2 linked regions of the Ovis aries genome follow. The protein of the gene in region 1 binds, or shares a complex with, the protein of each later gene. Links are inferred from orthologs where the notes say so. Each region holds a gene or a part of one and is shown on either strand. Other genes may lie near its edges.

Evidence for each region.
Region 2: MEPCE (region 1) and LARP7 share a complex: the UniProt entries of both Homo sapiens proteins name them as parts of the 7SK RNP complex. The link is inferred for Ovis aries from reciprocal best matches to the Homo sapiens genes MEPCE and LARP7.

Annotation. Positions count from the first base shown.
Region 1 is NC_056077.1:36,536,621-36,552,885, forward strand, and holds MEPCE (7SK snRNA methylphosphate capping enzyme), read right to left. Parts: upstream 8,429-16,265; 5' UTR 7,840-8,428; coding exon 6,175-7,839; intron 4,982-6,174; coding exon 4,763-4,981; intron 4,593-4,762; coding exon 4,466-4,592; intron 4,348-4,465; coding exon 4,301-4,347; 3' UTR 3,755-4,300; downstream 1-3,754. Other genes in the region: PPP1R35 (protein phosphatase 1 regulatory subunit 35), read left to right, coding at 2,030-2,272, 2,354-2,606, 2,687-2,823, 2,913-3,086. UniProt on the Homo sapiens protein: S-adenosyl-L-methionine-dependent methyltransferase that adds a methylphosphate cap at the 5'-end of 7SK snRNA (7SK RNA), leading to stabilize it.
Region 2 is NC_056059.1:13,383,586-13,399,929, forward strand, and holds the start of LARP7 (la-related protein 7), read right to left. Parts: upstream 7,299-16,344; 5' UTR 7,143-7,298; intron 1,342-7,142; 5' UTR 1,340-1,341; coding exon 1,141-1,339; intron 1,008-1,140; coding exon 907-1,007; intron 834-906; coding exon 750-833; intron 628-749; coding exon 463-627; intron 381-462; coding exon 287-380; intron 215-286; coding exon 1-214. Other genes in the region: protein ZGRF1, read left to right, coding at 10,488-10,556, 11,809-11,889, 16,056-16,115. UniProt on the Homo sapiens protein: RNA-binding protein that specifically binds distinct small nuclear RNA (snRNAs) and regulates their processing and function.

The sequences.
Region 1 (16,265 bases):
GCCTTGGCCCTGGTTTCCCTTGGCAATGGTCTGGGGCCTGGAGAAGCCCTCAAAAGAAGGATGGTCCTTCATGGCCAAATCTTTCCCACCATAGAGCCTCCAATCCTAGCCCCCTAGGAGTGGAGATGCTGTAAGGTGTGGATGAGATCCTGGGAGATAGTGGTCTGAGCCTGAGGTGCAGCCCAGAACTTTTCTTCAGCTGTTATTAGTTTTCCGGGGCTGCAGTAACAAATTGCCACCAACTTGGTGACCTGCAACAACAGAAATTCATTCTGCCAGTGTTCTGAGCACATTTAGGCTAGGCTAAGCTATGATGGTCAGTAGGTTAGGTGTAATATATGCATTTTTGACATATTTATATCTCAAAATAACCCCCTCATAAGTGGAGGAAGATCTGCAGTAGGAGGAATGGGCATACTTTCTTATTCCTGACTTTAGCTGGAAATCCTCTAGTTTCCCCATTGAGATCCTTGAAAACGTTTGTAAAATATGGGTAACTATCCATTCTATCTGATCTTCCACAGCATTTCTTGGGAAGATAATGAATAGGAAAACAAATAAAAAAATGGTACACAAACATTTCTGTTGACTGCTAACCCATCTTGGGAGAGCCTCAAAAGTCTTGAACGCAGACTACTTTTACCCAAGAAGAAACAGGCTCAGAGAACAGAGAGAGTCTACCTCAAGGAACATGAGGGAAAGAGGTGAGAACTCCCATCTTCTGCCCTGCAGTCCAGGAGTCCAGGGTAAATCCCTGAGCCTTTTTTTTTTTTAAATGGTACTCAACATAGATCTTTATTTTTTATGTAGATGAATATTTTTTAAATTATTTAATTGGAGGCTAATTACAATATTGTAGTGGTTTTCACCATACAGTGACATGAATCCTGGGTGTACATGTGTTCCCCATCCTGAACCCCCCCTCCCACCTCCCTCCCCATCCCTCAGGGTCATCTCAGTGCACCAGCCCTAAGCGCCCTATCTCATGCATTGAACCTGGACTGACAATCTGTTTCACATATGGTAATATACATGTTTCAATGCTATTCTTTCAAATCGTCCCACCCTCGTCTTCTCCCACAGAGTCCAAAAGTTTATTCTTTATATCTGTGTCTCTTTCGCTGTCTTGCATATAGGATCATCGTTATCATCTTTCTAAATTCCACATATATGCATTAATATACTGTACTGGTGTTTTTCTTTCTGACTTACTTCGCTCTGTATAATAGGCTCCAGTTTCATCCACCTCATTAGAACTGATTCAAATGCATTCTTTTAAATAGCTGAGTAATATTCCATTGTGTGTATGTACCACAGCTTGCTTATCTATTTGTCTACCGATGGACATCTAGGTTGCTTCCATGTCCTGGCTATTGTAAACAGTGGTGCGATGAACATTGGAGTATACTGTCTCTTTCAATTTATAGATGAATATTTTAGCGGACCTTCGAAGAGGAAAAAGTCACAAAGAGCCATTCACCCAGGCCACCACCTAGGAAGGACCCTGGCTGGAGTCAGCGAGCCACGCCCTCACTCACACTGGGTCTGGTCAGAGTAGGGAGGCGATGGAACACCCGGAGATGCCGTGGAGGCACGGAGTAGGGAGGTCCAGTGCAAGGGCGCTGGGCCGTTAATTATAGGTGTTCCACTTAGTGCCCTGGCAGGGAGGACTGACACAGTCCGGATTCCAGCAGAAGCCAGGTGGTGACGACTGGACAGGGCGAGGAGTCTGTAACTCGTTTCGAAATGGAAAGGGCCCTAATGAGGACCCGTAGGGCTTCCGCAGGTTTGCGCTCTAAATCCCTGGCCTGGGGGGCGGGGCGAGGTGGTGCAGGCGGAAGCCCGTTGGGAGCCGAGGGAGGAGGCAACGGAAATGACGCTTAGGCGCACCAATAGGGCGGGTCAGGAGTTGGTCTCCCCTCCCCCTTGGGTAAGGGCTGACGGTTTCCGGTAGCGGCGTCTGAGAGGGCGGGGGAGAAGAGGTGGCGGTTCCGTGACCCTTACTCCGCACCCCTACAGACGCCGGAAGATGATGGTCTACGACGAGTCACAGCTGGAGTCGGTGGGAGGGGGAGAGGCCGTGGCGGTCCCAGACCCACCCCCAGAACCCCGCGCTCCCGAGCCCGGAGCCCCGGTGCCGGAGCCCGGCCTGGACCTGAGCCTGAGCCTGAGCCCGCGGTCCGAGAGTCCCGGACGCGGAAGGCCCAACTGCAGCCCTGGACGGCGGAAGGGGCGGGCGGACCGGCGGGGCGGGGCCCGCAAGGGGCGGCAGGTGAGCTCGGGGAAAACTTGGCCGCCAGCTCGCTGACGAGCCCCCGGCTCACCCCTTCACCGCCCCGTTCTCTGCTCCCAGGTCCGCTTCCTCCTGGCGCCGCCTTCCCCAGTCCGGTCTGAGCCGCCGGCGGCCGCCGCCTCATCGAGCGAGAAGCCTGAGGCGCCGCAGGACTTGGGGGCGCCGGTGCAGCAGAGTAGCCTGGCCCTGAGCCTTGAGCTGCAGGCCGCAAGGGCCGCAGCCGGGGGCCAGTTCGATGCCGCGAAGGCCGTGGAAGAACAGCTGAGAAAGTCGTTCCAGACCCGCTGCGGCCTGGAGGAGAGCGTGACCGAGGGTGAGGGGGGCAGGCGGCCGGCCGGGCGCGGGAGCGGGGGTGCGCGGCGCCGCTCACCTCCGCCCCTCCTGCGGTCTCAGGGCTGAACGTGCCGCGCTCCAGGCGGCTCTTCCGAGATCTGGTGAGTCTGCAGGTGCCGGAGGAACAGGTTCTGAACGCCGCGCTGAGGGAGAAACTGGCTCTCCTGCCGCCGCAGGCCCGAGCCCCACCTCCAAAGGTGAGGCACCTGGGCTGTCTCCGCTACCGCTCCCCCCTCCCGGCCCCCAAATGCCAGAGATTCAGCTCCCCTTGTTTGTGCTCCAACAGGAGCCACCTGGCCCAGGGCCAGACATGACCATATTGTGTGATCCGGAAACATTATTTTATGAATCTCCACACCTGACCCTGGAAGGTCTGCCCCCACTCCGGCTTCAACTCCGGCCCCGCCCTTCAGAAGATACCTTCCTTATGCATCGGACACTGAGGCGATGGGAAGCGTAGACCTGGGGGCTCCCTGGATTGCTAGTTTGTATTTTTTGGTGTTGAAACTATCAGAATAAAGTGGTTTTGCTAATAAATGGGACTCTTTTTGGGAGCCTTAACATGCGGTCAAGACTCAGGTTGGAAGCGGTCAGAAAGTCGTTTTGGCCTCCTTTTAAAGAAACTTGGTAGTGATGAGAAGCAGAGCAGGCAGGTTCTTGCTAAGTCGTGTCCGACTCTGGTCCTAGAACTGCCTTCCTCTGGTTCCACTTCAACTCCATGGTTAACTCTTCCAAAGTCAGCCTGTTCCCAAAGCTTCCACAAAACAAATTTTGTCAGTGGGTTTTTTTGGGGGAAGGTAGATGGGTTCTTCAAAATTCACATTATACTCCCTTTTCCTGGCTTAGGGTTCTCTCTACAGTTAAGTGTAAATGGCAACCCACTCCAGTCGCCTTGCCTGAAAAATCTCAAGCACAGAGGAGCCTGGTAGGCTACAGTCTGGAGGGTAGCAAAGAGTGGGACACAACCGAGCACAAGTGTAGAGAGGGTTCACTGGCATTCAACAATCTTCCCAACCACTGAAAAAAGTGTTCTCTTCCGTAAGACTACAGTTTGGGCAGAGCGGAAGCCCAGGTTCTACCAGGAGCCACCATCTATGCCCCCTCAAACTACAGTGTGCCAAACACAGGTGTGGGGGCCGCTGCCCTAAACATCAAGTTTATTGTGCTGTTCTCACATTCGGAACCCAACCACCTCTCCCAGTGGGGGACAGCAGAGGGAAGGATTTTCACAGTACCTGCATGCCTCCCCACCAACATCCCCCTCTTAATCTTCAGCCCATCTATCCGTGGTCTGTTGAAACGCAGCTCAGGACAAGGGCCGAGGAGAAAAGAGTCTCTCTCCTTGGGAGAACAGGAGGAAGAGGCCAGAGAACTTGATACCCCCCAACTCCCATGCCCTAGGAAATTAGAGGGCAGCAAACAGTCCATGCCATCCAGCCCAGTGGGCTGGGGGAGAGGAAGATGATGGTTCCAGCACAGCTGGGCTTGCTGCTTAGGTGCCAGAGGTGTAGGGAAGAGGCCAGGGCAGCAACACAGGAAAAGCTTTCTCTGCAGATCCAGGAGAGCAAACTATTTTTGGAGCCAGAAAGGAAAAGACCTTGAGATACTTTCCTCTCCCCCTAGATCCTTTGGAGCAGCAGGCAGCTTCTTCACACTTTCTGTTCAGGGGGCCACTTAGTGGCTGGGGGCCTTGTGGAACAGGTACACAGGACGCTGGAAACCTGAGGGAAGAGTGTGCACTCAGTAGGGGCTGACGGGGCCTACAGACCCCAACACCGGTCTGCACCTTGCTTCGGCACTGGCCTCCCTTCCTCCCCAGATAAAAGAAGGCAGCCTTACCTCTGGAGGTGTTGTTGGGTGTGGCCACGAGCTCATAGCTGGAGAAGCCCACCTCTGGGGATGTCAGGTAGGAACTGAACTGCTCTGGCTTCAGCTGAATTCGAAAGTAGTTCTTGTAGATTCTTTCCTAGGGAGAAAGGTAAGGGACCACTTCAGCTTACTGCCTTCTTGGCTAGTGAAGGTAGGCCCACTTGGGGGCCCTTTTCACCTTCATCAGAAAGTCTCTGCTTCCTTGAGGCCTTCCTTGCCTCAGCTAAAGGAAGGACTGCCCCAGTTTCCACAGAAACCCGCACTCACTGTGAGAGTCTTTCTCCGGCCGTAGGAAGACCAAGGCTGGGGCTCCAGGACTAGGATGCCCCCAGGACGTAGGTGCCGATAAATCCGGCGAAACATGCGCTTCAGTCCCTCGTCTCCCCAGTTGAGATGCACCCACTTGGTGAGGCTGAGGCAGAGCACCACATCATACTCGGGTTTCTGGGCCTCCACCAGCTCGTCTCGATCCAGCACATAGTTACCCTGAGGGCGAGAATTGGGGGTGAGGATGAGAGATGAAAAAGAACCACCGCCCCTTCTCAACCCACTGTGCAGCCCCACTTGAGTCCTTGGCCAGGCTTCTGACACTCCTCAAAACAACTCCCAAATGGTGCCCTCTTTGAGTCTCATTTTCTTGCTCTGTATTGGTGGTAAGCCAATCAAACATAGAGGGAGCTTGAGTAATCTTAAATTGAGCAAATTATCCACAAGGCAGTCAAAGCTAAGTTCAAATTGCAGAGAAAGAATGCTGGGGTTCTCCGAGGATCCTGTCCAGTACTTATCCCCACAGGCATTTAAGCTGAGAGATTCAATGTTCTGCAAAGGGGCCCAACTCAGGTTGAAAGGGAGACCTGTGGGTTCCTTCCCTAGGAGGAACTGTCAAAGTTTCAGGCCTATTCATTTTTTCCAGAGAAATGAAGACCTCCATCTCTCAGGAAACCTTCTAGATGATTAGCTCATTACCACTCCTCTGCAAAGTCCATTCTTCTGGGTGTAACCCACACTGCCAACTCTTCCTGTAGGTGGACTAACTGAAGCATTTTATGGGGACTGATGTGCAGTCAGGGGACAGATACTTAAGACTTGGTACTCTCCTGCACGGTTTCCCATCCCACCATCTAGGGTCAGTGTGGTGATGATCTAAGGCGAAGTCGCTTGGGTTCCTGGCCACTGACAATCAACTCTGTGTGTGACACAAATGAGGTCCCTATCAACGGACAGAACATAATTAGCCAGCCACTACCCTAATCCTCCGCCCCATCCCAAGACATTGAATGTTGGACACCCATCCCTTCAGGCACCTACAGAAGGCCGGAGGACAAGTTTTCATCTGGACCACATCCCCCAGTGATTATGAGCAGCAGCCCCCAAAGGAAAGTGGATGGGTCTAGATTACAATACTGCCCAGGAGCAGAGCAAAAGGAACCTGCCCCTATCCTGGGGCTCGTCATGAGTAAGGACTCCAGGTACAGCCCCTGCCTTTCCAGGTTATAGGAGGGCAGATACACCAAAATGGAATCAATTGCAGATTCAGACCATTCTCTTGAGCACCTGGCTTCTCCAGGGAGGGGTGCATGCACAGGAACCCTCTGGGTCATAACCCTCCCTGCCATGTTCTCATTCACTCTCATCTTCATGCCTGACCCCTATTCCCAGGAGCCTGGGGACCCTCTTACCGTGACGAAGACAACGTTGTTGGGGAAGACCGCTGTGTCGGCTCCATCCAAGGGCACTTGGGGTGCAGCGATGGGACCACGGCTGGCTGTCAGCGAGGCTGGGAAGTAGCTCCTTTTTCGGATGGCTGAGGTCCCTTCCTCACTCTCTGCTCCTGGGCTCCCCTCAGAAGTCTGGGGTGGCAGACGCAGTTCTTCAGACAGGTAGTGTCGGATGTTCTGGCGGGCTGAGTGGATGAGCTGGGCATCGATATCCAGGCCCACCATGCGGGATGGGCCCCACTTACAGGCAATGCTCAGGGTCAGGTGGCCCACATTGCAGCCCAGATCGAGGACGTCCCGACCCCGAAACCACTCAGGCTTCAATACCCGAAGGCGCCCATCCTCACAGGAAGGATTGCGGTACCCATAGTACTTGCAATAATTCCCATACTGGAACTTGCACTGTTGCTTTTTGAAGGTTGCGGCAGGTAGTGGCTGGAGGTGGTGGCGCCCTCCCCCAGTCCCTCTGCCCTTTTCCTTGGAACCCTGGCCTCCACCCCGAGCTCCTGCCTCTGACTTGCTGGAAGTCCTGCGTCGTTTGCGATGTCGTGAGGAGGAAGACGGGGGTGCAGAGGTAACTGAGGCAGCTGGAGGGGCTGAAAGGGAGCCTGAGGGACCCTGGAGGGCAGATGGAAGGGGAGACACGACCTCATCCCTGCAGTTGATGGCTGTGTTGAGTTCATAGGGTTGGGGGGCGTCCCGGTTCTGGCCCCCATGCTGCTGCGTGGTGCCCTCCCCGTGGAGTGAGGAAGTGAGGGGGGCTGTGGGCAGCGCGGAGTGGCTATCATTCCCTCCCGTTGCCTGCTGCTGCTGGTGGTGGTGCTGTCCCCGGTGTCTATGCCGTTTCCGACCAGTCTTGAGTGGCGAAGCAAGGACAACTTGGGCCTCATCAGTGCAAGTATTGAGACTGAGAGGGTCTGTAATATCTTTGGGGATGAGGATCTCCACTGGATCTCGCCCCTTGGCCGGAAGCGGGGATGACTTAGGGGTCTCCGCATTGAGTGCACGGCTCACTTCCTCATCCAGGAGACTATTCAGGTTCAGGGGATCAAAGATATTGCCCCCGAGGAGGAAGTTGGAGGGTAAGACAGAGTCACAGTCCGAATTAACCCGCCTGCGTCTCTTGAAGGCCGGATGTTTGAAGCCTCCACCACCTCCCCCTACATGACAGCTATTTCTCCTCTTGCCCCCACCTCCCCCTGGGGGCCGGTGGGGCTGATAGCCATTCCGGGGTCGAGGAGGAGCAGGGGGGCCCAGTTCTGTTCCGCCTCCTCCCCGTCGCTCCTCCCCCACGTCCGGGGGAGCGGCTCGCCCGTGCGGATCCGACAAGCAGGCCTCCCCGAGTGACTGCGCCTGGGGGCCGCCCCCTCGTTGCTGCTGCTGCGACTGACCGCCTCGAGGGGTGGATGCAGCCCCGGGGCTCTCCTTGCCGGCCATAGAGGCCGGGGATCCCGCCGAGTGAGCGCGCGGGCCCGGCGCACGCTGCGTCCCGCCGCGGAGCTCCCCGGAGGCGGCCTCTCGGTGCGGTTGCACCGTGGGGCCGCCCCCTCCGCCCGACTCATCTTTGAGCGGCGGCGGTGGGGCCGGCACCAGAAACGGCTCCTTCTCCGCCGCCATCTCGATCATTTCCTCCCCTTATTCCGTTCCAGTCGAGGGCAACCAGGGGGGCACCGGGGGCTTAACCCCCCTTCCTAGACCACGCTCCCTTCCCCCCGCCTCCTTCCCCGAGTGCGCGCGCAGTGCTGCTCGTCTCCCCTGGTCTCGCGCCCAAGCACCTCCCCGGAAAGCTCGCCCCACTCGCCCGCGAGACCAAAACAAGATGCCCGCGAGACCCGAACAACTCGAGGACTCAACCGCGCGTGCGCCGACCCCTTTCTCCTCTACCACTACCGCTCCGGCGCGAGCGCGCACGGCTGGGGCGCGTTCCTCTCTCCCTGGAATCACGCATGCGCACTCCGCCACCACCCTGATTGCGCGCGCATCGGAGTACGAACCAACTTAACGGCTCCGGGAGTTTAAATACAGCCCTTCTCAGCCCGCCCCCCACCCGCAGAAGCCCACCACCCCAAACTGACACCCTACTTCCCTTCGCAGCTATGTCCGTCCCTACTGATATCCTTTTGTCTCTGCCGCGCGATCCCACCCACCGTAGGCGGGGGACGGGGAGCTGGTGTGAAAAGGTCTCCTTGACACCCGACCCTTGTTCCTGAGGAATGAGTCTCAGCGGTCTCCGCCCGGCTCTAAACCCAGCAACCTCCCCACCCCGCCTCCTTCCTCCCCCTAGCGAGCAGCGCCTGCGCACACCCTTTTGGGCTTGCGCGGGTAGATGCAGCACGTGCTGGAGATGACGCCCCGCCCTCCGTGCTAGGGGCGGGGACTGTTACGTTACTTCCTAGGGTTTGGAACACGCAACATGCGTCAGCACGATTCGGAGGGCCGTGGCTAATGGGCGGGGCGGTCCGTATGAATTATTCATGACCCAGTTGCCCCCCCCCCCCCCCGCCCCGGTGCCCACCTATTTAGAAAGGCTTCCGAGGGAGCGGAGGGGTGCACCTAAAAAGGAGAGGAGGGGAAGGAGCGGAGCATACTGACCGTCTTCCTACGAACTGTTCTCAGTATAACACGATAGATCATTTTAACTCATCCCCCCCTGGAAAACAGTCTCTGCTGAACTGGAAAAAGAAAAAAAAAGCACTAAAACAGGCGATGTTGTCTTAACTTCCTCTTCCCCCTAAACAGCCGAGTCGTTCTCTCGCTCCCCGATCGCGATCACCTGGGGACACCACGCCCTCTCCGCCTCCACACCCACCTCCCGCACCAATGCCTCCGCCCACCACCCGACGCCAGCGCACGAGCCCCCCCAGCCCGGAGACAAGCTATCCGACGCCCACTACAGCTGCCAATAGCAGTACACCCAGCACCGCCGCCCCCCCCGCCCCCCACTCCGTACACAGGCTTTCCCGAGCACACGCTGCGGCTCCGAGCCGCCTTATATAAAAACGAATGTGGGCGAGGAAGAGATTTCGGTCCGCTTTGGGGGCTCCCTGCCTTAGCCTATGGGGAGGAAGCTACTGGACAGCCTTTCCACTGGGTGTTTGTTTGGTGGCTTGATTTCCTTGCCAACAGCGCTTGGGGTGCGGGTCCTGTGGCTGAGAAAAGGGTGGAAGAGGCGAGAATGGGGTTAAGGATAGATCTCAAATAAAATAACAAAATAAGGGGATGAAGGATACTAAGAAGAATGCGAATGAGGGCACGAAAAGAGGACGGAAAAGGCAGTCTGGGGCAGAGAAAGAAGTCAGTAAAAGGAAGATGTGCGTCTTGAAACATCAGGCGCTACGGCTGCCACCTAAAAAAAAAAAAGCGAGGCCAACGGGGATTATGGGATTTGTAGTTTTATAGGGTATTCGGTTGGAAGATGGCGGCGATGACTGCTGCGCAAAGGCAGAAACGGCCTCCAATTGCGCATGCGCATTAGCCCTGCGAGCACGCCGCCGGAGGAGGTGGAGCTTGCGAGTGGCCTCGCGCCTATCCTTGTTGGCGGGAAAACTGGTTGGAGGTTCGCGCGGCTGGTGGAGTCGCTGCAGTAACTCTGTCTGCTCCTCACCCTTAGAGCCTCTACGCACCAGAAGGTAGTTGGTGTTTTTCCGCTTGCACCTGAAGGTTCTAGGCTTGGCCAGTCTTGGCACCTGTCGCCTGAGGAAAAGTTTTCTCCTCAGGGTGATGGCTAGCTCTTATCCCTCTCCTCAGAATCTCTAGCCGCAGACTTGCTCCAAAGAGAAAACCAGAACTAAGTCAGTATTACGGTGCGCGATGTCGAGCTGAGCGAGAATGAGGATCCTGGTGTCTCCTCGTGTTGAGGGTGGGAATGGGGAGGGGGAGCTGAGGGGAAATTGTCTCATGGAGGGTGTTTCTTGATGGTGAGGAGAGGTTAGAGAGCCACTGTTTTACCCTTAGAGGAGTCATGGACTTCTGGCTCTGTGGTACCTCCGGTCTGAATTGCTGTGCTTTTAAGAGAGAATTGGTGAGGAAAGAGGAAAAATGTGGGTGTCTCCAAGTTCTTCCCTCTGGTTTGAAAAGTGAGATTAGGCCTTTTATTGTTCCAAATCTGAGCACTCTGTGAGGGGAAATGGTGCAGTGGTCTGGGAGTTCATGGGCATGGCCCCTTGGAAAGCAACACAGAATGGCTAGTTTGAGGTTGGCATTATTCCGGGCACCTGTGGAAGCTTTTCAGCGGTTAGATAGAAAGGGTCTGAACCAAGATCAGGGTACTAAAGAGTCTGTCTTGGTGATAATTGACCATGTCTCTCTGCTTCCTTGCACTCTCTGAACTTAAAGCTTTAGTCACCATTAATTTGAAGATTCCGTAAAAGGTTTTACTTAAAGTAGTTACGACAGTAAATGTCTTGTTTCATTGATAAGTCGTGTCAGACTCTTTTGCAACCCCATGAACTGTAGTCTGCCAGGATTTCCCCGGCAAGGATACTGGAGTGGGTTGCCATTTCCATTTCCAGGGGATCTTCCCGACCCTGGGATCAACTCACCTCACCTGCATTGGCAGGTGGGTTCTTTACCACTGAGCCACCAGGGAAGCCCCAAATGTCTTGTTAGGCAGCCTAGTATGGGTAATAAGGGTAGCTGGGATCAGTTTTTTTCCTTCTGTCTTGTTAAAAGTTTAGAATCATGCTTGCTGAGCGCACATGAGAGAAGGAAGGTGGAAAGAACAAACTTATTGATGGAGGCATGAAAATGAGAAGAAATCTACGTACCATTAGACATTAAGACAAAAAGAAATCAAACTCCAGCTTAAAGGAGAGTTAAAATATAGTCTTTATCTTATTTATTTATTGTTTTTTGGAGAGTTATATTTTATTTGGTGGACATTCTGAGGAACTCAAGCCTGGGAGGCAGCATCTTAGGTAACCCTGAGAAAAGTGCTTCCTCTGAAAATATAATCTTTATTTATTTTACAATATATATATTTACTTGTTTTGATCATTGCCTAACTACTCCCACTAGAATGTCAGCTCAGTGAGAATAGAAATTTGATCTTTTTTCCTTCTCAAAATATAGTTTTTAAATACAATTTTTTGAGGCTCACAGAGTCTGTGTTAGAGGGCAATTCTAAAGGGCTTATTTTTGTTCTCTTAGACCAAGGATTCCAGGGACAATATAAAGAGGGAGTAACTGGATCCTTGGGAGAAATTTGTGAACACATTCCGAGTGGAAGGAGGAGGATTAAGGCTTTTTGAAAAATACTGACAAGACTGAAGTAAGTTACTTAGCTAAGTCAGCTCTCAAACATTTTGGTCTGGGAATCCCTTTATTTTTAAATTAAATTTACTTATTTATTTGTGTCTGTTCTGGATCTCCATTGCTGCTCAGGCTTTTCGCTAGTAGTGGTGAGCAGGGGCTACTCTCTAGTTGTGTGTGGGCTTCTCACCGTGATGGCTTCTCTTGTTGTGGAGCAGAGGCTCCATAGTTGTGGTGCAAATGCTTAGTTGGTCTTCAGCATTTGGGATCTTCCAGGATCAAGGATTGAACCTTAGTCTCCTGCATTGGTGGGCAGATTCTTTACCATTGAGCCACCAGGAAAGCACTGGAATCCTTTTTATTTAAGTTATGTTTTAAAAGGTTTTTTTGGTGGTTGTTGTTTGCCTGCACGGGGTCTTGGTTTCTGCACGTGGGCTTTCTCTAGTTGGGGCAGCAGGAACTGCTCTCCGGTTGCCGTGCATGTGCTTCTCTTTGCGGTGGCTTTGTGTTGCAGAACGTGGGCTCTAGGGCACATGGGCTTCAGTAGTTGTAGCTCTTGGCCTCTAGAGCATGTGCTCAGTAGCTGTGGTGTATGGGCTTAGCTGTCCCACAGCATGCATGCAGGTCAGGGATCTTCCCTGACCAGGGATCAATCCTGTGTCCTCTGCATTGGCAAGCAGATTCTTACCCACTGGACCTCTAGAGAAGTCCTCTGAGAATCCTTTTATACTCTTAAAATTTTTGAAGGACTCCAAAGATTGGTTTATATCTCTTTACCTGTGCATTGATACTTAAGTATTAGAAATTAAACTGAGAAAAATTAATCAATTTATTAATTTAAAAATGATGATAGTAAACCATTTGCATAATGTTAGTGTAGATAACACTTAAATGAAAATATAATTTCCTAAGTGAAAGAAAATTTAATATGAAGAATGGTGTTATTTTACATTTCTGCAAATCTCATGTCTGGCTTAATAGAAAACAGCTGGATTTTCATCTGTTTCTGAATTCAGTGTGTTTTGATATCTTGTTTTGGTTGAAGAATATGAGAAAATCTAACACAGATAAGTAGTTGGAGATCTGCTGAGCTAGGTGATTTCATCTTCTAATCAGTGTGATGATTTTTGGTGTTCTAAATGAAAGAAAAGTATCTTTTGGAACACCTCATTCACCTTCCCTTGGGTCCCTTTATTACTTCTAAGTCATTTCCCCCTCCTTATTTGCCTTTCTTTCTTATGTCAGTTGAGGAGTTAGGATCTGGTTATGGAAGTTCTTTTACTTTGACATTTAAATTTGAAGCTTTATTGGATTTTTTTCCCAATATTTTTCATCTAAAGTAAGAAAAGAGAAACTAAAATCTCAAATGTTATTCCTGGGTTTAGAGCCCCCAGTCATTTTGTAGCTAACCAGGTAAAAGTTGGTGGTATTTTGTATATTTATTAACTATCTTTAAATTTGTCTTTCTCTCTCTGAAATGAATTTCAGTATTCGTTACTGTGGAAGAAAATACTTCATCTGAAACAGAGGAGCAGAAATTTGTCAGACAGTGACTTCCAAACTTTCTCTTCTCTATTGATCAGAATAGAGATTTTCTTTAAAAGTAATGTTCTTCATCACACCCTCACTCTGCATGCATGCTCAATCGTGTCTGACTCTTTGGGACCCTATGGACTGTACCCTGGCAGGCTTCTCAGTCTATGGAATTATCTGGGCAAGAACACTAGAATGGGTTGCCATTTTCTTCTCCAAGGGATCTTCCTGATCCAGGGATCGAACCCACATCTCCTTTTTCTCCTGCATTGCAGGCAGATTCTTTACTGTTTGAGCCATAAGGGAAGCTTATACATTTACTGCTGCTGCTGCTGCTGCTGCTGCTGCTGCTGCTGCTAAGTCACTTCAGTCGTATCCGACTCTGTGCGACCCTGACCCTGGGATTCTCCAGGCAAGAATGCTGGAGTGGGTTGCCATTTCCTTCTCCAATGCATGAAAGTGAAGTCGCCCAGTCCTGTCCGACTCTTAGCGACCCCATGGTCTGCAGCCTACCAGGATCCTCCATCCATGGGATTTTCCAGCCAAGAGTACTGGAGTGGGGTGCCATTGCTATACATTTACTACATCTTATTAACTTAACAGTGATCCACAATTTTATCTAGTTGGTTGGGGCTTCAGTAACACACTTTGGCCTAGAGAGGTCAGTATAGGTTTAGATAATGATTTAAACTTAACTCGGAAAAATTTTGCCTCTTGAGGTTGATCAAAATACTCTTTTTAAAATTTTATTTTAAAAATAGAGTTTAAAAGTCACTTTGAAATGGCAGTCTATGTATAAAATACCAGAGTTACACAAGACGCTACAGTAGAGAGCTCGTTTCCACTCTCAGCTACCTGTTTCCTCTCCACTGAGACATTTTTGTCAATTTCTTGTGTATTCTTCCAGAGATAGTTAAAGGATACTCAAACATATTGTATAGATGAAAATTTTTTAAAAATCAAATTTTGTCATCTCAAGTACACTAAATTCATTTTGCTTTCCTCGTTCAGTACAGTTTTGTAATTCTGATTATCTTCATAGGGACTTCTCATGGTCATTTTTGGAATTTTAGAGTCTGGGAGAAGATATGTTTGTCATTTATTATTATTATTATTCCCTTTGTGGCCTAATTTTATACAGTTTGTACCTTCTATTTAGGGTTATCATAAAGAAAGAGACCAGTTTGCTGTAGTGATTCTCCCCCAATTTCCTACTTGCTTTTTCTTTCATTGTCAAATAAGTTTGGGAGTTGGTGGTGAAACATTAAAATGGAAACCGTGATAAAATGTGCTTCTTAAATTGGGCTTTCCTGGTGGCTCAGATGGTAAAGAATCTGCCTGCAATGCAGGAGACCCGGGTTCGATCCCTGAGTTGGGAAGATCCCCTGGAGGAGGGCATGGCAACCCACCCCAGGATTCTTGCCTAGAGAATTTCATGGACAGAGGAGCCTGACGGGCTATGGTCCATGGGGTCACAAATAGTGGGACACAACTGAGCAACTAATACACACTAGACGAGTATAAACGGAAAGGAATTACTGCAAACCAGCACATATCAATTATTTGCGTTTATGGAATTAAGTATTTTTCTTAAAATACCAAAAAATTTAAAAAAGACATTATATTCAGCCATGCTGTGGCCACACTAAGTCAAGTCCCCAGTAACTTTTGAATTCATCTTGGAATCTGGAGGGTGGAATCCTACACCCTGAACAACTGAGTGTTTACGTTGGCCATTTGAGGGTCATAAAATTTTCAGCCCCTTTAGAGAGAAAAATATACGAACCCAAAGATCCATTTTATGCAACTTTTGGATCTCTCTCTTTTTTATTACTACTTATTCATTTTCTTTGTTTCTTTGTCTTTGTTGTCTCTAGTGTAATGAGCGGGGGCTACTCTCTAGATGTGGTGCACAGGCTTCTCATTGTAGCGGCTTTTCTTGTTGCAGAGCACAGGCTCAAGGTGCCGGGGCTGCAGTAGTTGCAGCGCGTGGGCTCAGCGGCCGTAGCGCCCGTGCTCTGGAGCACAGGCACGATAGTCCTGGCACCTGGGCTTAATCGCTCCATGGCATGTGGGATCTTCCCAGGTAAGGGATTAAACTGATTTCTCCTGCATTGGCAGGCAGATTCTTTACCACTGTGCCACCTGGGAAACCTCTTGGATCTCTTTATAGTGGGAGGTAGCAGAGTTAAAGGATTGAGTTTCAGGTCCAAGGCCTTCAAAGTACTCAAAATCAACAGCCAGAAATCAGATCACTGAGAAGAATAGATATGTTATTAGAATTTAGAAGCCAGAGACCTGGATTCATCTTACTCTACCATGTATTAACACTGAGGTTTTGGCAGACCACAGCTGGGTAGAAATAATATCAGTAGTGGAAAGTGAGACTGGAAAATGTATAAATTCTTGGAACATCATAAGATGAGTCTTGGCACCGTGCTGGGTCACAAATGACATACAGCTAGAGATATTAATCTCTTCAGCCTTTGGTGTGGCTGGAGGCCTCCCTCTCTCATTCCTCGGTTGTCTATAGCTGTGAGCAGAGTACTAGAACACTGTTTCAGTGTTTACTTTTAGTGTATGCTTTACCTGTGTGCTGTGATGTTAAAATGGGTGTGAAGCACTGAACTGCTGAACTAGACTCCTGGGATGTACTATAGCGCAGTTCATGATGCAAACATAGATCAGACAGATTCTAATCCTGATTTTACCATTTATCAGCTACTTAATATCTCTGACTCCCTCTCAGTGCCAATTTCCCCAAGTGTAAAATGGCATCAATCTCAGATTTATTGGGAGAATTAAATGAGATGACATATTCAAAGATTATAGTCGGTGCCCGATAAATGTATTTATTATTAGTCACAATTTTGGTAGCAGTAATGAAACATACTGATGTTGTATAGAACATATCTGAGTAGATAGCTACAGATAAACTATGGATATAGAATGAATATGCTAGATTCTTATTACTAGCTTCTCTGGAGACCTCTGTGTTCAGTCACTAAGTTGTGTTTGACTTTTTGTGACCCCCATGGACTGCAGCATGCGAGGCCTCCCTGTCTTTCACTATCTCCCGGAGTTTGGTCAAATTCATGTCCATTGAGTCAGTGATGCTATCCAAATATCTCATCCTCTGCCACCTCTTCTCCTTTTGCCTTCAACTTTCCCAGCATCAGTCTTTTCCAGTGAGTTCGCTCTTCACATCAAGTGGCCAAAGTATTGGTGCTTCAGCATCAGTCCTTCCAATGAATATTCAGGGTGGGTTT
Region 2 (16,344 bases), on another chromosome or scaffold:
GGTAAGCTGGATCCTTCAGTTTTTTCTCGTTTTTTCTTTTTCTTTGTGGGTTGCTTTTGGGGTTCAGTAACCTCTACTTCAGAGCTCTCAGATGTGGTCCTTGATCTTTTCTTACAGACACTTTCGTTGCTCGCGTCCATATTTGACTCCTTGGTCTGGATATTGTCGTCTTTCTTTGTTCGGCCTTTCTTCTTCTTTTTCTTTTTCTTTTCTTCTGTAACAATGTTATTTTAATTACTTATTTTTACTTCATGTATGTTTAATAAAGTCTTTAGTAATAACTCACCAGTTACTGTGAGAGCTGGAATGGGCTTGTTTTTCACTGTCTTGGGAAATACACCAGGTTTTCTTGGTGCTTCCTCTGGTGGGTTATTAAGAAACTGAAATGAAATATGCAAAATTCTGTTACTGTTTAAAACACTTAGTAATTTTCTTTCTCTTTCTTTTAGGTTGTGGACCTACCTCAATAGCTTTTGCAGCTTGTTCTTTTGTTTCAAATTCCACGAAGGCAAATCCCTTTGGGTCCCCAGTAGACTTATAATGTGGTATACTTATATAAACAACATTGCCACATTTCCCAAATACTCTCTCAATCCAGCTGTGGTTAACATTTTTGGGAAGTAGTTCCTATGATAAATTAGTAATAATAAAGTGTTAAAAACAACTGAAAATAAAGCTTTATTTAAATTGAATACTACAATGTTTCTGTTGAGACAACAGTTCCGAGCTTTTCCTGAAAAATGGCTTACCACATACACAGTCCGCTCATCCTCATCCTTTGGTCTTTCACCCAGTGGCTTTTTCCTCCTGATTCTGGTGCCTTCTAAATCCAGCTTTAAAACAGTACATAAAGTCAATACTAATTAACAGTATCATGTGACACGTAATATATGTAACGATTCTTACCTCTACAACAGCAGAACTTTTTAGTGCTCTGGCTATTAACTTTCCATCTGTGGTCAATTTTTTCATTTTGTTGAATGACACAAGAAGTGATATATCAACATCTAATGAAAACATAAGTTTAAAAAAGATTCAAAAACATTTTCAACTGTGTACATTGTACATTATATGCAGCATATATGGATTAGAAATAGATACAGCTCTTAAAACTGGTATAATACACTGAAGGAAACTTACATCCATCTCTAGATTTTTCTATCTGCTCTCGAAGAAATCTATCCTTGTGGAGATTTGCATCTCCAAACCAGAAGTCCACTTGCTTCACAATATCTGCAAGCACCTGTTTAACTCTAGACCGTTTCTTTTTCTCCACTTCTTTTTTCTTTTCTATGCTTTCTTCCATTGCCTTTTCTTTATTTCCACTTTCAGTTTCCATTTCTGTCAAATAGGAAGAAAAGGTAAATATTAAGTATAATTAGTGACCAAAAAATAATTTATCCTTTATCTGAAGGGAAATGGGCTCAAATATCTCTACCAGGGAAACATTTTCACTATTAGCTGCGGAAACATTGATTTTGCCTGTTTCTTATAAAATTTATCTCTTATGTTAACAGCATTTTTTCATACATTCTAGTATAGAATGATATACTGACATGTTCATTTCACAACCTCCAATGAGAGAAAAACACTTTATTTTTAAAAATGTTCTTTACTTGCTGACAAGACTGCAAAGTTCTGGACAGACAACTATCTCCCTGTCTTCTCTACTGTACTTAAAACCTTACTAATTTATTATCCTAAAGAATTATTTCTTTATTTTGCTCCCTGGTACATTCCCATTTCCTGGTATATAGTAATACAAAAATCTGTTGAATGGTGTCATCTTAGCTGATACACTAAACTTAAATACACACAAAAATGAGTAAGCAAAGAATTAACAGGGGGCCTGGGGTGATACTAAGACAAATGGCAAGTTTCATCTGTCTTCTCTGGCACACTGGGGTGGGAGATGCTATTAGTTGGTATGCATGCAGGCCTTGAGGCTGTGACCAGCATGATAGAATAGATTGGTGGGCTTTTGGGCATCAAGGTGATGAAAACACCGTACTAGTCTTAGATAAGGGCAGGGGGGTAAGCCGTGAATGTGGGTTAATTGCTGTATTTTGGGAAGACTGGGACTAGGTCTCCAGATGAGATGAAGATTCTGCCCCTACTCTATCTTCTGTCTTATATCCTTTAAAGCTCAGTAAACAGTTATTAGATAAAAGTCTATTTGTGTCTCCTGAGTCTGACTGTCAGCTATAATCTGAAAGTGCAGCAGGGATGCTGCAGATAGAAACAGATTTTGTTTCAAAGTGACATTCAGGAGGAGGGTACCAAGCCATGAATGCATTTCACTTCAAACCTCCAACTAAATGTGCATTCTCATCAAAGGAAGAGTATTTTGGCATTTTTAAAACAGGCTTCTGTTGATCAGGTAACTACTAATTTCTAAAACAGGTAATTATTTAGATGATGCTAGCCTAACTCATAAAATGGAAGTACATGCCAAAATTAATCATTAGAAAAACAATCAGGTGCTACATAACCATTTATTTCTCATCTCCCACTCTCACTTCAACCCATCCTGTCAGGCTTTCCTTTCCATCATTCTAATGAAACTGAAAACTAGGATCCCCACTATCTACCAGGCCTCTCAGGAGCATTTGCAGTTGCTAACTCCCTCACAAAACATTTTCCTCATTTGGCTTCCATGAGTTGTCTTCTCCATTTCCTTTTCTGGACCCTCTGACTCTGCTCTGCCTTTCCATGATGCCCAGGACTGAATGCAGTCAGTCCTGGGCTCCCTTATCTACACACATGTCGTTCCAGAGGGCCTCTGGCGTTAAGCTCCATGGCTCTCTATGCTGATGTTTCACAAACCTGTCCACTCCCGACTTACCCCATTACCTCCCCATTCCAACACGCAAATACCCACCTGACCTCTTCACTTATTCATCTGAAGCATATCTCAAGCTTAAATTGAACTCTCAAATTTTAGCAAACCACGTTTTTTTCCTAGTTTTTCCCGTCTCGGAAAATACCAGTGAAAACTGCTGAGAGGGCACAAACACTGAAATCCTTAATTTCTTCCTCACACCCCACAGCCAATTCATTAGCATTTCTGTTAGCTCTAGCTTTTCAAAATTCGTATGACTCCTCATTTCTTCCATCACAACCACCTGCTCCAAGCTATCACGGGTACCTTGCCTGCAGTTCAAACACATCCTCACATTTACTTGCTTCTACTCCTCTTCCATTGTCAATTCTCCAGATAGCAGTCAGAGTGATCATTTAAATATATAAATAAAATGTCAATTTCTTGAACAAAATCCTCCAAAGGTTTCTTATCCCAGTCAGAATAAAATAAAAAATCCTTATTGTGGCCTATAGGTCCTATTACATCTGGCCTGGGGATTTCGCTCTAACTTCGTCACTTGCAACTTCTTTCAGGGTGCTCATTACAACCTCAACACACCATCGTTCTGTTCCTTGAACAGTCTAATGCATTCCCATTCCACGGCTTTTGCTCCTGCTGTTTCCCAGGTTTCCTGTCACATCTGCAGGGATTACTTCCTTGTTCACCCAGGCCTCTGCAAATGTCACTTTCTCAAAGAGGCTTTCTCTTTCACCAAATCTAAAATATCCCTTCCCTGCCAACCATAACCCTACCCTCCCTCACTCACCACTTTCTATACTTATATGCTCTTATTCCTGCCTGGAATTATAATTTTATTGCCTGCTTCATTATAATATAAACACTAAGAAGGCAGAGACTTCAGCTTGATCACAACCTTGGCATTTATTGTCTAGTTAAGTAATATAACTAACAGCATCTAATAAATTGTCAAGTATTGAGCATTTCAAGTTATTTTGTAAGGGGGTAGAATTATAAACAAAATACAAATGTAGGCTATGATCGTCACTACAGAATTCACTACTAACTCTTTCATCTGAAAAATCTATAAAGGGCAGATTACCACTTCTCCTGGTGGCTCAGAGGTTAAAGCATCTGCCTGGAATGCAGGAGACCCGGGTTCGATCCCTGGGTCGGCAAGATCCCCTGGAGAAGGAAATGGCAACCCACTCCAGCACTCTTGCCTGGAGAATCCCATGGAGGGAGGACCCTGATAAGCTACAGTCCATGGGGTTGCAAAGAGTTGGACAACACTGAGCGACTTCACACACACACTACTTCTCCATTTGTTTTCATCGTCAAAGCCACCATCTAAGGAGATAGTGGACAAAACTGCATAAACACAGAAAGCCACAAATCTCCCAGAAATCAGACTTTTCCCAGCATTCTCTTCTCAGCCCTGATACTCTCCTTCCTTTCCCATATATAAATATATATATATATATATTTTGCGGCCTGGAGAATTAAGTTCAGAAAATCTTGCCCCATGTGAATAACACTCTGCAACTTTCAATCTTAAAAATCTGTGGAGAATCAAATATACCTTCATTTTCGAGTACAGATATGGATTAGATTAAACAGGAATTAAGCTATGGTACAAGTTCTCTTTGCTACACATTGGTTGCAGAAGATCAGGAAGTTACATGATAGTCATAGTTTACTTTTTCAATGTCCTATGATAACAAATAGGTATACTGTCATTCCATACATTCCAAATCAAAGTTCTTATCTTTCTTAGCAATGTCTGTTCTGCTGTTCTCACCACCCTCATTTTCTTTAAGGATGACATATTCTACTTAGTTAACCAGTCGAGCTATTTACTAGCTGTATGGATTTGGGGCAAGTTAACTCAACTTTCTACGATCTACAAAGTGGAATAAAATTTATACTGACATACTAGGGTTGTTTTAAAAATTAACCAAAATGGATAAAGCACTTTCCATTGCTGCTATACAGCACACAGTCAACAATATCTAACTGTTATTTATTATCATTTTATCATTTACCAATCTGTCATTAATCCCTATCAATGTAACCTTTGGAATGGCTCTTATCTTCATCCAGTGTTTTCCACAACTACTGTTATAATAATACGGAAATTGTTTATAAATTGTTTGAGAAGTCCTCCATCCTTCACAGAAGCTGTGTAACTTGTCTAAACACAGGTCTAATTTTGTGACTCTAATGCTAAAACTTTCAACAATAATAATTCTTTAGCATCTTTTGGTAACACAGCATATATTTTTAAAAAATTGTTAAATGAATCAACTAGTTTCATAGGGTTTAAACAAAGAATAAAAGTTACTGTGTAACACCAGTTACTTTACACACCTTGTTTTAAATCCTCATAATCCCTCTAGGTTATTTCTCTTAACTTTTTACAAAGGCTCAAAGGTTAAGTGACCTGGCTAAAGCTAGCTAGGTAAGTAAGCTCAGGTATGTTTAACTTTCACACTGCCTAAGTTTTAGTAGAACCTCTTGCAACCTCTTACCATGTAGTCTACGTTTTGACTCAGAAATCCTTTTTTTAAATTGTTAAATTTTTTTTTTTTTTACAATGTTGTGTTGGTTTCTGCTGTACAACAACGCGAATCAGCCATCTGTGTGTTCGTGCTAAGTCGCTTCAGCAGTGTCTGAGTCTTTGTGATCCCATGGACTGCAGCCATCCAGGCTCCTCTCTGTCCAAGGAATTCTCCAGGCAAGAATACTGGAGTGGGTTGCCATGCCCTCCTCCAGGGGATCTTCCTGACTCAGGGATCTAACATTGCATCTTACATCGCCTGCAATGGGAGGCAAGATTTTTTTAACAGTAGCGCCACCATCAGTCATAAATATACATATATACCCTCACTCTTGAGCCTCCCTCCCCTTTCTCCATCCCACTCCTCTAGGTCATCACAGAGCACCAGACTGGGCTCCCTGTGTCATACAGCAACTTCTCACCAGCTATCCATTTTACACACGGTAGTGTGTATCTGTTGATGCTACCTTCTCCATTCATTCACTCTCTCCCTCCCCACCCCGGCTGTGTCCACAAGTCCATCTCTCCTGGCTCAGAAATTCTTAACCTGAAATCCATGGAATTTGGGATGGATTTCAAAAATTATTGTAAATCCCACGAAATTTTCAAAGGTAAATTTTAAAGGTGAAACCATGACTTTTCTACGTTTATAAAATGAACTCGTCAATCATTTTATTTAAGTAATTAACCAGGGAACTAGTTAAGTGCTAAAAACCAGTTCAAAGGTGAACTCAAAAACTAGACAAGCGCAAATACAAGCAAGCAAAAATATTGAAATGAACTTGTTAACAGATGTAACACTAATCAGGGCAATAACTCTTAAGACTTATTTCAATTATAACTTACATAATTGTAACATAGCTCAATGACAATGAAAAGCAGAGGTAAGCTGGAAAAGTAAGCTAGACACCTCTTTTTTTTTGGCTATTTCAACGTCTTTCACAATTTTTCTTTAAAAGGTTATAGAAAATATTTAGAGATGTATATGTATTTTCCTGGGAGGCTCATCCATATCTTTTAAATCACGTTTTAAAAGGAAATGGTGTGTCAAAAAGGTTAAGAGAACTATAGTTCTAGTCACATCTGACTATCCAGCGTTGCCTACTTTCTTGTCTCTGTGCCTCTGCTTTAAAAGCTTCTTGTCTTCCTTGTCTTATCAAGTCCTATTCAATTTTCAAGGCCCAGGTTAAACGGCATCTTACTCTTTCTAGCTTTCTGCTAGCACATTTCCCCTAAACAACCGCCTCATCTGTTTCCCTTTTAAGTATGTCTATTAACGCACTCAATAATACACTGTATTTTTTCTTCCTTCCATAACTGGATGTTCAGCTCTCTGAATGACAGAGACAAAAGTTCTGAAAAAGGAAATGACTTAATTTAAAAATACAAGTCCACATTCGCTATCGTTTGGCCACCAAAACTCGAATCTGCGAAGAAAAGCAATTCCCCTTTTGACTACTGCCCCTTTAGGTACCCGTCCTTCCTCAAGGAAGCCGTCAGACGCGGGACTACCCCAAACCTCCCAAAACCGGGCGGCAAGCGCCCCCAATCACTAGAAAACTGGAACTGCAAGGGCTGCCGGAGGACTCTTGCGCGTGCGCACAGAGAACCAGGACACTAGGGCAATCTAACTGATGGGTTGGTGGGAGGGGGCGGGATGAGAAGGACCAGAGATGACAGAAAGGACCGGCATAGAAAAAGACTGAGAGTAATTTAGATCTCACCCAACCTGGGCTTCCCTAGAGTCCACTTAGAACTTACTCTGTCCAATTCCCAAAATACAGCGCCAGAGACTGCGTTCTTCAGTCCTTCGCGTCCCCCGAACCTTATAGTCGTGGTTATTTTAGCGTCACATGAGCGACAATTCTTCCGAACGCCTTGGAAAAGATGGGCCCAGAGGTTGTGCGACCGACATTTACGTCACTGGCGTAGGCCCGCTCAGCGTGGGGGCGGGACATCGGAGAACGCAGTCGCCACAGAGGCTAGCAGCCAAAGAGGAACTTGATTGGCAGTTTGAAAACGGCCATTCAGGTCCGGAGCCGTGGTGGGCGGGCTAAATAGTGGGGTTGGATCTGGTGCGGTCGCGAGTTGATGATGTCACGGCTTTTCGCGGGAGAAGTTCGAAAGTGGGTTTTGTGCAATGAGCAAGTTAAAAGAGCTGTTTCCACTCGGGAGTTTCTGGGGATTGAGGGTAGATAGGCTGGAGTTTTGAGCTCGAGGTGCTGTCACTGATTTTGATGCGACGGGCGAAGGAGTTTGCTCCGCCAGACGGGGTTCGGTAACGAAACTGTGTGGAGATAAGGTTGGTTCACGGCTTGGCGCAGCAACCTGTAAATAATTAGTGCTTCGTCTTTACCACCTTCCCCCAACTCCTGCTGGGCAGTTCCGGTATCCGTGTGAGAACCCGGGATGGTTTTGCTGTTTATTTTTAGGACTGACAAAGGGTCCCTTCTTCATTGTCATCTGGTTACACAAGCTAGTGATAATTAGAACGTTGGCAAATGAAATGTGAGCATCTTTTGGTTGTCTGGACTGGACCGTTTCTTAAAAGGCTATTGGGCTCGTGATTCTTAAATTTTTAAATCTGTGAACCACTTAGGGATTCGAAAGATCCTGCTTGTTCCAAAAGAAAAGGACCAAAAACATCTCATCGTACTTAGCAAGAACAGGTCATATTTTAGTGATAACACCGAATTTTATACATAAATCTAAAAAACAGCACAATAATGTGTGTGAAGATATGTATGTATTTCTGTACTAAATTATCGCAAAACATTTAATCTCTCCCTTTTTTTTGAAGTGTAATTCTTTAATCTACCACTTAACAAGAGTTAGGACCGTCTCAATACCTTTTACATCGCAAATCCCTCAAGTAATATTTCTAATTTAGGAAAACAATGGGGGAATTTATTTTGCAGTTGGTAAACAGCATATAAGTAATCCTAAAGAAGTAAATACTGGATTTCTAACCTGTAAATTGTGATGGTAATAACAACTTTTAGGACTATGAGACTGATAAATATTATATGTAAAGAATCCAGTCCCATTCTTGCCTGTTACAGTAGGTTTTCCATAGTCACATAATGTAGTTTTTGTGAATGGGAACACCAGAATTTAGACTACTTAGTTTTAAATTCTGAATCTGCCATTTATTTACTTCATGAGCTTAGGCAAATTACATACTGATGTACCTCACTTCCTGTTTTTGTAAAATGAATATAAAAAGTAGTATCTGTACTATAAGGTGTAAAATTTAAAGCATTTTAACAGTGTTCTAGCATATAATTTACACTGAATAAATAATAACTGTTATTAAAGGGATCTAATGTTAACTGCTACATGCCAAGCATTGTGTTGACACTATGTAGTCTTATCTACATATATTTGATGTCTAACCCATTCAGTGGCTAGAAGCAAGTTGCTGTTCAACCAGCAGTCAACTATGTGTTTCTTTGGACCTCTGTTATCTTCTTGGCATTCACTAGGCATCTGTCAATCCTGTTAGCTGGAGGGGAGGGATTAGGATATGGAGTTATATTTCTGAAAGGCAGTGCCTCTGTAGGTCTGGCCCTGTGCTGTGAACTATATCATGGGACAAGCATTCATTTCTCATTTGTGTACCGTTTGCCCTGCCCTTTCTCCATTTAGCAGCCAGAGCAATCTTGGTAAAACCCAAGTCAGATTATGTTAACGTATTCTTGAAATTCTGCCTTGGCCTCCTACTGTCTTTTTAAAAAGTCCGAACAACTTAGCATAAAATAGAATGCCCTTCGCATCCTGTTATTGCTCACTTTTTCAGACTTATCTCTCACAACTCACTATCTTACACTTGATTATAAACTAGAGTTCCTTGATTATGCCTTCCACAGCTTTTTTGTACGTGTTATTCTTATTTGGAAATACCCTCCTTGGGATTTTTCCTTGGTTAATGATTATTTCGGTTCACAGTATATGCATTATGTCTTTCAGGAAACCTTGTTTGATGCCCTAGACTGAGTTGGGTGTCCCTCCAGTGCTTTTCCTTCCATATTTTTTGTAATTACTGTTTATTACCCTGCTATACTGAAATTCCTTGAGACTAGGAGTAGTAGTTTGTTCATTTTAGTATCTTGGCCTAGCGCTATGTACACACAATACATAGCACACAGTAAGTACTAAATATATGTTATTTATAAATAACATGTAGGTGGTCTATTTTTTGTACATTTTATACATATAAAGGATGAATTTAATCCAGAATTGCAAATTATTGCTTTATTGAATACCTGTAGGTTTCAAACTTGAGTGTGTATCACTGCACCTGCAGTGCGTTTTAAATTACAGGTACTGGACCCCAATGCCAGCCTTTATGATTTAATAGCTCAAGACTCAAGAATTTGAATTTCTAACTAGCTCCCAGGTGTTGCTAATGCTATTGGCCCAGGGATCTAAGGCAGTGGTTAAAAATAATAATACTTTTCTTCGGCATCTCTGTTTACTTCAGTTCATTGTCAGTGATATTAGATTTCCAGATTTGCCCACAATAATAGTTTTATCCAATAGCATGGGATAAATATAGTACTCATTGCAATTATATTGAAAAAGTTTTTCCTTGGAGAGTGTATTATAATGTATATTTGGTTTTAGATACTATGTTACATTGACTTTGAAAAGGTAAAAGGAAAAATTTGAAATGCAAGGGGGCCATCTTGTGGTGATCGTAGCAATTCAGAGAATTTTAAAATTGAAGCTCTTAGAGAAACCAAGCTTCTGGGGCGGGGAGAGAATCCATTTTCTGATATATATTATGGCACCTGGAAAAATGTCTGCAGCCTACTCATCTGTGGGTTGGTTTTTTTTCTTTTGGCTTACCCTGGAAGCTTGTGGAATCTTTGTTCCCTGACCAGTGATTGATGCCAGCCCTTTGCAGTGAAAGCACAGAGTGCAAACCACTGGACTGCCAGGGAATTCCCTACATGTGTGTTTCCCTTGGTGATTACATAGTCTCAACACTTAAATACCCCTCTCTGGTCAAGAGTTGGTGGGGAAAAATTGTAGTTGATACTTATTCTGTTCATCAGGGTTGAATATTTGTCTTTTTTCATTTTAGGTGCTATAAATAGTTGAATGACTACTGATTATTTTCTGCACCTGAACCTAATTTCAGAAGAAGTAATGGAAAGCCAAGAATTTATTGTAAGTCTTATTTGTTTTCACTGTTTCCTTTTTCCTTCCTTCCTTTCATGTTTCACAAATGATTTGCCAGATTTAGCTAAAAAACCTAAAATAAATTTTTTAAAAACCCCAAACCTGGGACTTTCCTGGTGATCCAATGGCTAAGACTCCTTGCTCCCAAAGCAAGGAGTCCAGGTTCGATCCCTAGTCAGGGAAACAGATCCCACGTGTTGCAGTGAAAAGCTCACATGCCACAGTGAAGGATTCTGCATGCCACAGTGAGGACAGAAGACCCCACATGCTGCAACTAAGACCTAGTGCAACCAAAGAAAAACGAAAAACAAAAACCCAAACCTAAAATAGGACACTCTGTTAAACTTGAATTTCAGATAAACAGTGAATAATTTTTTAGTGTGAGTATGCATCTCTGAAATATTGCCCTGTATTCTGTCTGGCAACCCTAGAGTTCACATTGGTCGTGTCCGATTCTTGGTGACCCGATGGACTGTAGCCTACCAGGCTCCTCTGTCCATGGGATTTTCCGGGCAATAGTGCTGGAATGGATTGCCATTTCCTTCTCCAGTCACATTGGTTATGCAAAGTTCTTTGGAACAAATTGTTCAGAAGCTTGGAACCAGGGCATAATTTCTTTCTCTCGAAAGACTGGCACGTCTATTCTGTCTAGATTAATGGTTCTTAACCTGTTTGGTGTCAGGGGCCTTTATACTCTCACCTCTTCTTTCTCACCTCCATTGTCTTTAATGACCAGGTTTCTTTCTTCCTTTTCTTTTTTTTTTTTAAATATCAAGAAAAACTTTAATTTCTTTCAAATGTATCCAAATACACATTGGAATTGGAATATTATAAAAGTGGGAGTTTAGAGGAGACACATGATTTAATAAACTGTATGGCAACGACTAGGTAGCCATCTAGAAGGCTCTAAGTTGGATCCATACATCATATATGCATACACGTGCGCACGCTCAGTCACGTCCGACTCTTTGAGACCCCACAGACTGCAGCCCACCAGGCTCCTCTGTCGGTGGGATTTCCCAGGCAAGAATACTGGAGTGGGTTGCCATTTCCGTCTCCTCTTCCTTTTCTTTTAAATTGATGTTTCATTGTTATGATATCTGTGCTTTAATTTTAATAAACAAAAGATCCTTGTGATGTCTTACATATTTTTTGTATAAAGGAAGGGTATAAAAATACATATAACATTTAATACGTATAAGTAGAAACCATTTCTTTCCTTTATGCTTTTGGAAATAAGGTACTATATACTCATCAAAAGATGAAGAAGTCAAAAGTGTGGCAAGATGGAATTCTGAAGATCACTCACTTAGGAAACAAAGTAAGTGCAAAACAGTGGACTAAGGAGTCTAAAAGTTGGGTTCTTTTGATTTAATATTAAGAAGAGTCTGTAGATAAAACCTTAGATATATCCGTAAGCTGATATGATGTGAAAACAGAAGTTGTCAAATTATTCCTATATCACAGTGATTAATTTGTGAATTATAAAAGTCAGTTAATACTATTTAATTTCCTTTGATTTTTAAAAAAATCAGATTTTATATGAAACTTTTTAGGAATTTTGGCTTTTTTTTTTCATTGCAGTAGTAAGAGTTTAACTATACCAAAAAACTACTATAAAATATATTTATAACACAATAATGCTCACAGTGTAATGGTACCTATAGAGTGACATATTTTAGAAAAGCTGCCAATTTCTGAAATTATGTGTAGGATTCTTTTCTTCTGTTTTTGATTTTCTTCATTATTTTCTGATATCCTATCAAGTTTTGAGAGAACTATTTACTAGGATAAATCTTTGACCCTACTACATATAGTTATCCTTCTATGGGTTTCTTTTCCCACCCTGATTATCATTATCTTCATCTGTCAAATTTAAATGTTCTACTCTTATCCGTTCTCATGACCTTATTTAATACCCTTGTCTCCTCATTCATCATATGACCTCTTCTTCATTTGACTTCTGTGACACCACACTCCCCTAATGTTGCTTACTGTCCACTTCTAAGTATTTTCTGCTGGCTAATTGTCTTTTCATGATTAAAATTTTTACTCAGGACTCAGGCCTTCATGCTTTTGTAGAGATATATAAAGATACATAAATTATCTCTTTCTCTATGGAGGAAAGGTAGATTTATTGGAAGGAATTGTGTAGTGTGATTGTGGAGGCTGACAAGTTGCAACATTTGTAGTTGGCAAGCTGGAGACCCATGAGAACTAATAATGTGGTTTTAGTGTTTATGCCAACAGGCCTGACACCCAAGAATAGCCATTATTTCAGTTTGAGTTATAAGTTAGGAAAAAACGGATGTCTCAGTTCAGAGACAGGCAAGGGTTTTCTCTTACTTGGCCTTTTTGTTCTCTGTAGGCCTTCCACTGAAGGGATGAGGGACAGCAGTCTACTGTAGTCATTTATTTTATTGAGGTATATTTCTGACATGTCATTATTATGGTTTCAAGCATACAACTTGATGATTTGATATGTGTATACATTGCAGAATGATCACAGTAAGTCTATTTCCCATCCATCACCATCCATAGTTAGAAAAATTCTTTTTCTTTTCCTTGTGATGAGGACTTTTAAGATTTACTCTGAACAATAAACAATTGTTGTTTTTTAGTTGCTGAGTTGTGTCTTTTTGTGATCCCATGGACTGTAGCCTTCCAGGCTCCTCTGTCTATGGGATTTTCCAGGCAAGAATACTGGAGTGGGTTGCCATTTCCTTCTCCAGGGGATCTTCTCGACCCAGGGTTTGAACCTATATCTATTGTGTATTTTGTACTTCCCAGGTGGCTCAGTGGCAAAGAATCCGCCTGCCAATGCCGGAGATGTGGGTTCTATTGTTTCTCTTAATATTACCAAATTTAAAAGAAGAACTTTATTACAGATGAGTTGATAACATTGGACACGTTGGCAAGATTGTATCCTCCTGAATGAAGCCAGCTGTTAAAGATCTCCATATTCCCTCCTTTAATACATTTCTATCACTCTGAAATTATCAGTAAAAGACACTTTTTAATATAGAAAGACTACTTGTAAGAAAACAAACCTCTTAAGGAGGTACCAGGCACATTTAAAACATGCAGTGAATAGTAACTACTGTTATAGATTTTGTCTTCAAGGGACTTTTATCTAATTTTTATCTAAGAGCCTAATAATTAAAGTATGTACAGAGATACGCTTAAGGTTTTATGAGATTATAAATGAGAGATGTTAAAATTTGACTCTGGTTCAAAGAAATCTTTCTGGATGAAGAGTATTCTTTTGAGTATTTGTTTCATTTTGTAAACAAAGTTGATAGGATTGAGGGAAGGAAGCCAGGATGGTGTTGAGGCTGTAACAATGTGGAGGTGTAGCACAGTGTGAAACACTCCTGGGAACTAGAAACAATTGACTGTGGCTGGAATAAGGGTCCATGTTGGAAAACTGTAGAAGATACAGCTAAAGACGTGGGCAGGAGGCGTATTATAAAGGACTTTGTGTGCTCAGTCTGAGGTGCCAGTGAAGATTTAGGAGCAGAAGAATGATGTAATTGTTTCTGTTTTTAGAAAGATCCCTTTGGCAGCTATGTCTAATATACCTTTTAAGTGACGTAGGTTGAAAGATTGGATTTAGAAAGACTTATAACAAAGAGGTTGTAGAATAATATAGACAAAACATAATGGGGCTCTGCCCATGCAGGCGTTAGCATTGACAATGGAGAGAAATGGTAATAGAGAGAAACTGAAAATACAGAATCTGAAGGTCTTGGATATGAAGGAGAGGAGAATCCAGAGGGACTTTTAGGTTTGTGTATTATGCTTATGGTGCTGAGTAAGATAGGATCTCTGAAAAAGAAAAGCACATTTAGAGGGAACAATGAAAATTCTGGGTTTTCATTTTGAAACTGTTTCATCGATTAGGCTAAAGCCTTTGACTGTATGGATCATAACAAACTGTGGAAAGCTCTTAAAGAGATGGGAATACAGACCGTCTTACCTGTCTCCTGAGAAACCTGTTTGCAGGTCAAGAAGCAACAGTTAGAACCCAGTATGGGACAACTGATTGATTCAAGATTGAGGAAGGAGTACGACAGGGCTGTCTGCTGTTACCCTGTTTATTTAATCTACACGCTGAGCACATCATGAGAAATGCCGGGCTGGAGGAGTTACAGGCTGGAATTAAGGCAGGCGGGAGAAACAGCAACAACCTCAGATATGTGGATGATACCGTTCTAATGGCAGAAAGCGAAGAGGAACTAAAGAGCCTCTTGATGAGGGCGAAGGAGGAGAGTGAAAGACTTGGCTTAAAACTATTAAAAAAACTAAGATCATGGCATCCAGCCTCATTACCGCATGGCAAATAGAAGGGGAAAAGGTGGAAATAGTGACAGGTTTTCTCTTCTTGGGCTTCAAAATCACTGCAGATGGTGACTGCAGCCATGAAATCAGAAGATGATTGCCTTTCGGCAGGAAAGCTATGACAAACCTAGACAACGTGGAAAAGCAGAGACATTACTCTGCTGACAAAAGTCCTTATAGTCAAGGCTGTGGTCTTCCCAGTGGCCACATAAAATTGTACGGTTGTGAGAGCTGGACCGTAAAGACAGAGCACCAAAGAATTGATGCTTTCGAACTGAGGTGCTGGAGAAGACTCCTGAAAGTACCCTGGACAGCAAGGAGGTCAAATCAGTTAGGGAAATCAACCCTGAATACTCGTTGGAAGGGCTTATGCTAAAGCTCCAGTATTTTGGTTACCTGATGCAAACAGTTGACTCATTGGAAGAGTCCCTGATGCTGGGAAGATTGAAAGCAGAAGGAGAAGAGGGTGTCAGAGGATGAGATGGCTGGATGGCATCACTGATGCAATGGACATGAACTTGGCAAACTTCGAGAGATGGTGAGGGACAGGGAGGCCTGGCTTGGTGCAGTCCATGGGTTCGCAAAGAGTCACACATGACTGAGCGACTGAACAGTGAGCAGCATGGCTAGAGAGCTAGAGAGACACAGGAGAAAGCCAGAAAATGATCATCACCTTAGTTTCCTTTTTCTCCCATATCCTGCACATTCAGTAAGTGTTACTTTTTATGCCTCAAACAATTGTCTTATCCCATTGCTGAGGACTTATTTCAAGTTCTAATCATTTCCTTGATCCTTCATATCACAGCATTACAATAAGCTCTTTACTGATACTGTTTCCTGATTTGCCTCCTGTAACTTATTCCAATTTGGTTTTCTCTCCAGTTTCATTCTAAGATTCTCCTGGTAGGGATTAATTTCTTGAATTTATGAGTATGCCTTTGCTTTTTTACACACACTGAATGGATGATTAGTAAACATTTGAGATAGATGCACTTTCTAATCCAAGTTTACAAAGTGGGTAATCCTTTAAGACATGATTTATTTATATAACAACTTTTCATTTGCTTTGAAGATATTTAAGAAAAGTAGAATTATGTTGTATCCTTTTTTTTAAGCATTGTTAATATTTGTTTTGTTTTAATATAGGCAATTTTATATGATGACAAAGGAGGATGTTTGGAGAGTTTATTTCTTAAGTGCCCTGAGGTATTTTAATATATCTTATATTTAAGCGGTTGTTAAAAAATCTTTTACTTCCTTTGTGACTATTGTTAAATAGTATGGTAATGGCACTAATGTTAGTAATTATAGATAGTATTTATTGAACATTTATTATTAGCTAGACTCTGCTAAAGGCTTTTAGATATTTTTAATCTTTATTCAGCCCTGTGATTTTTATAGACTAAGAGTATAGTACTGAAAGATTAAATAATTT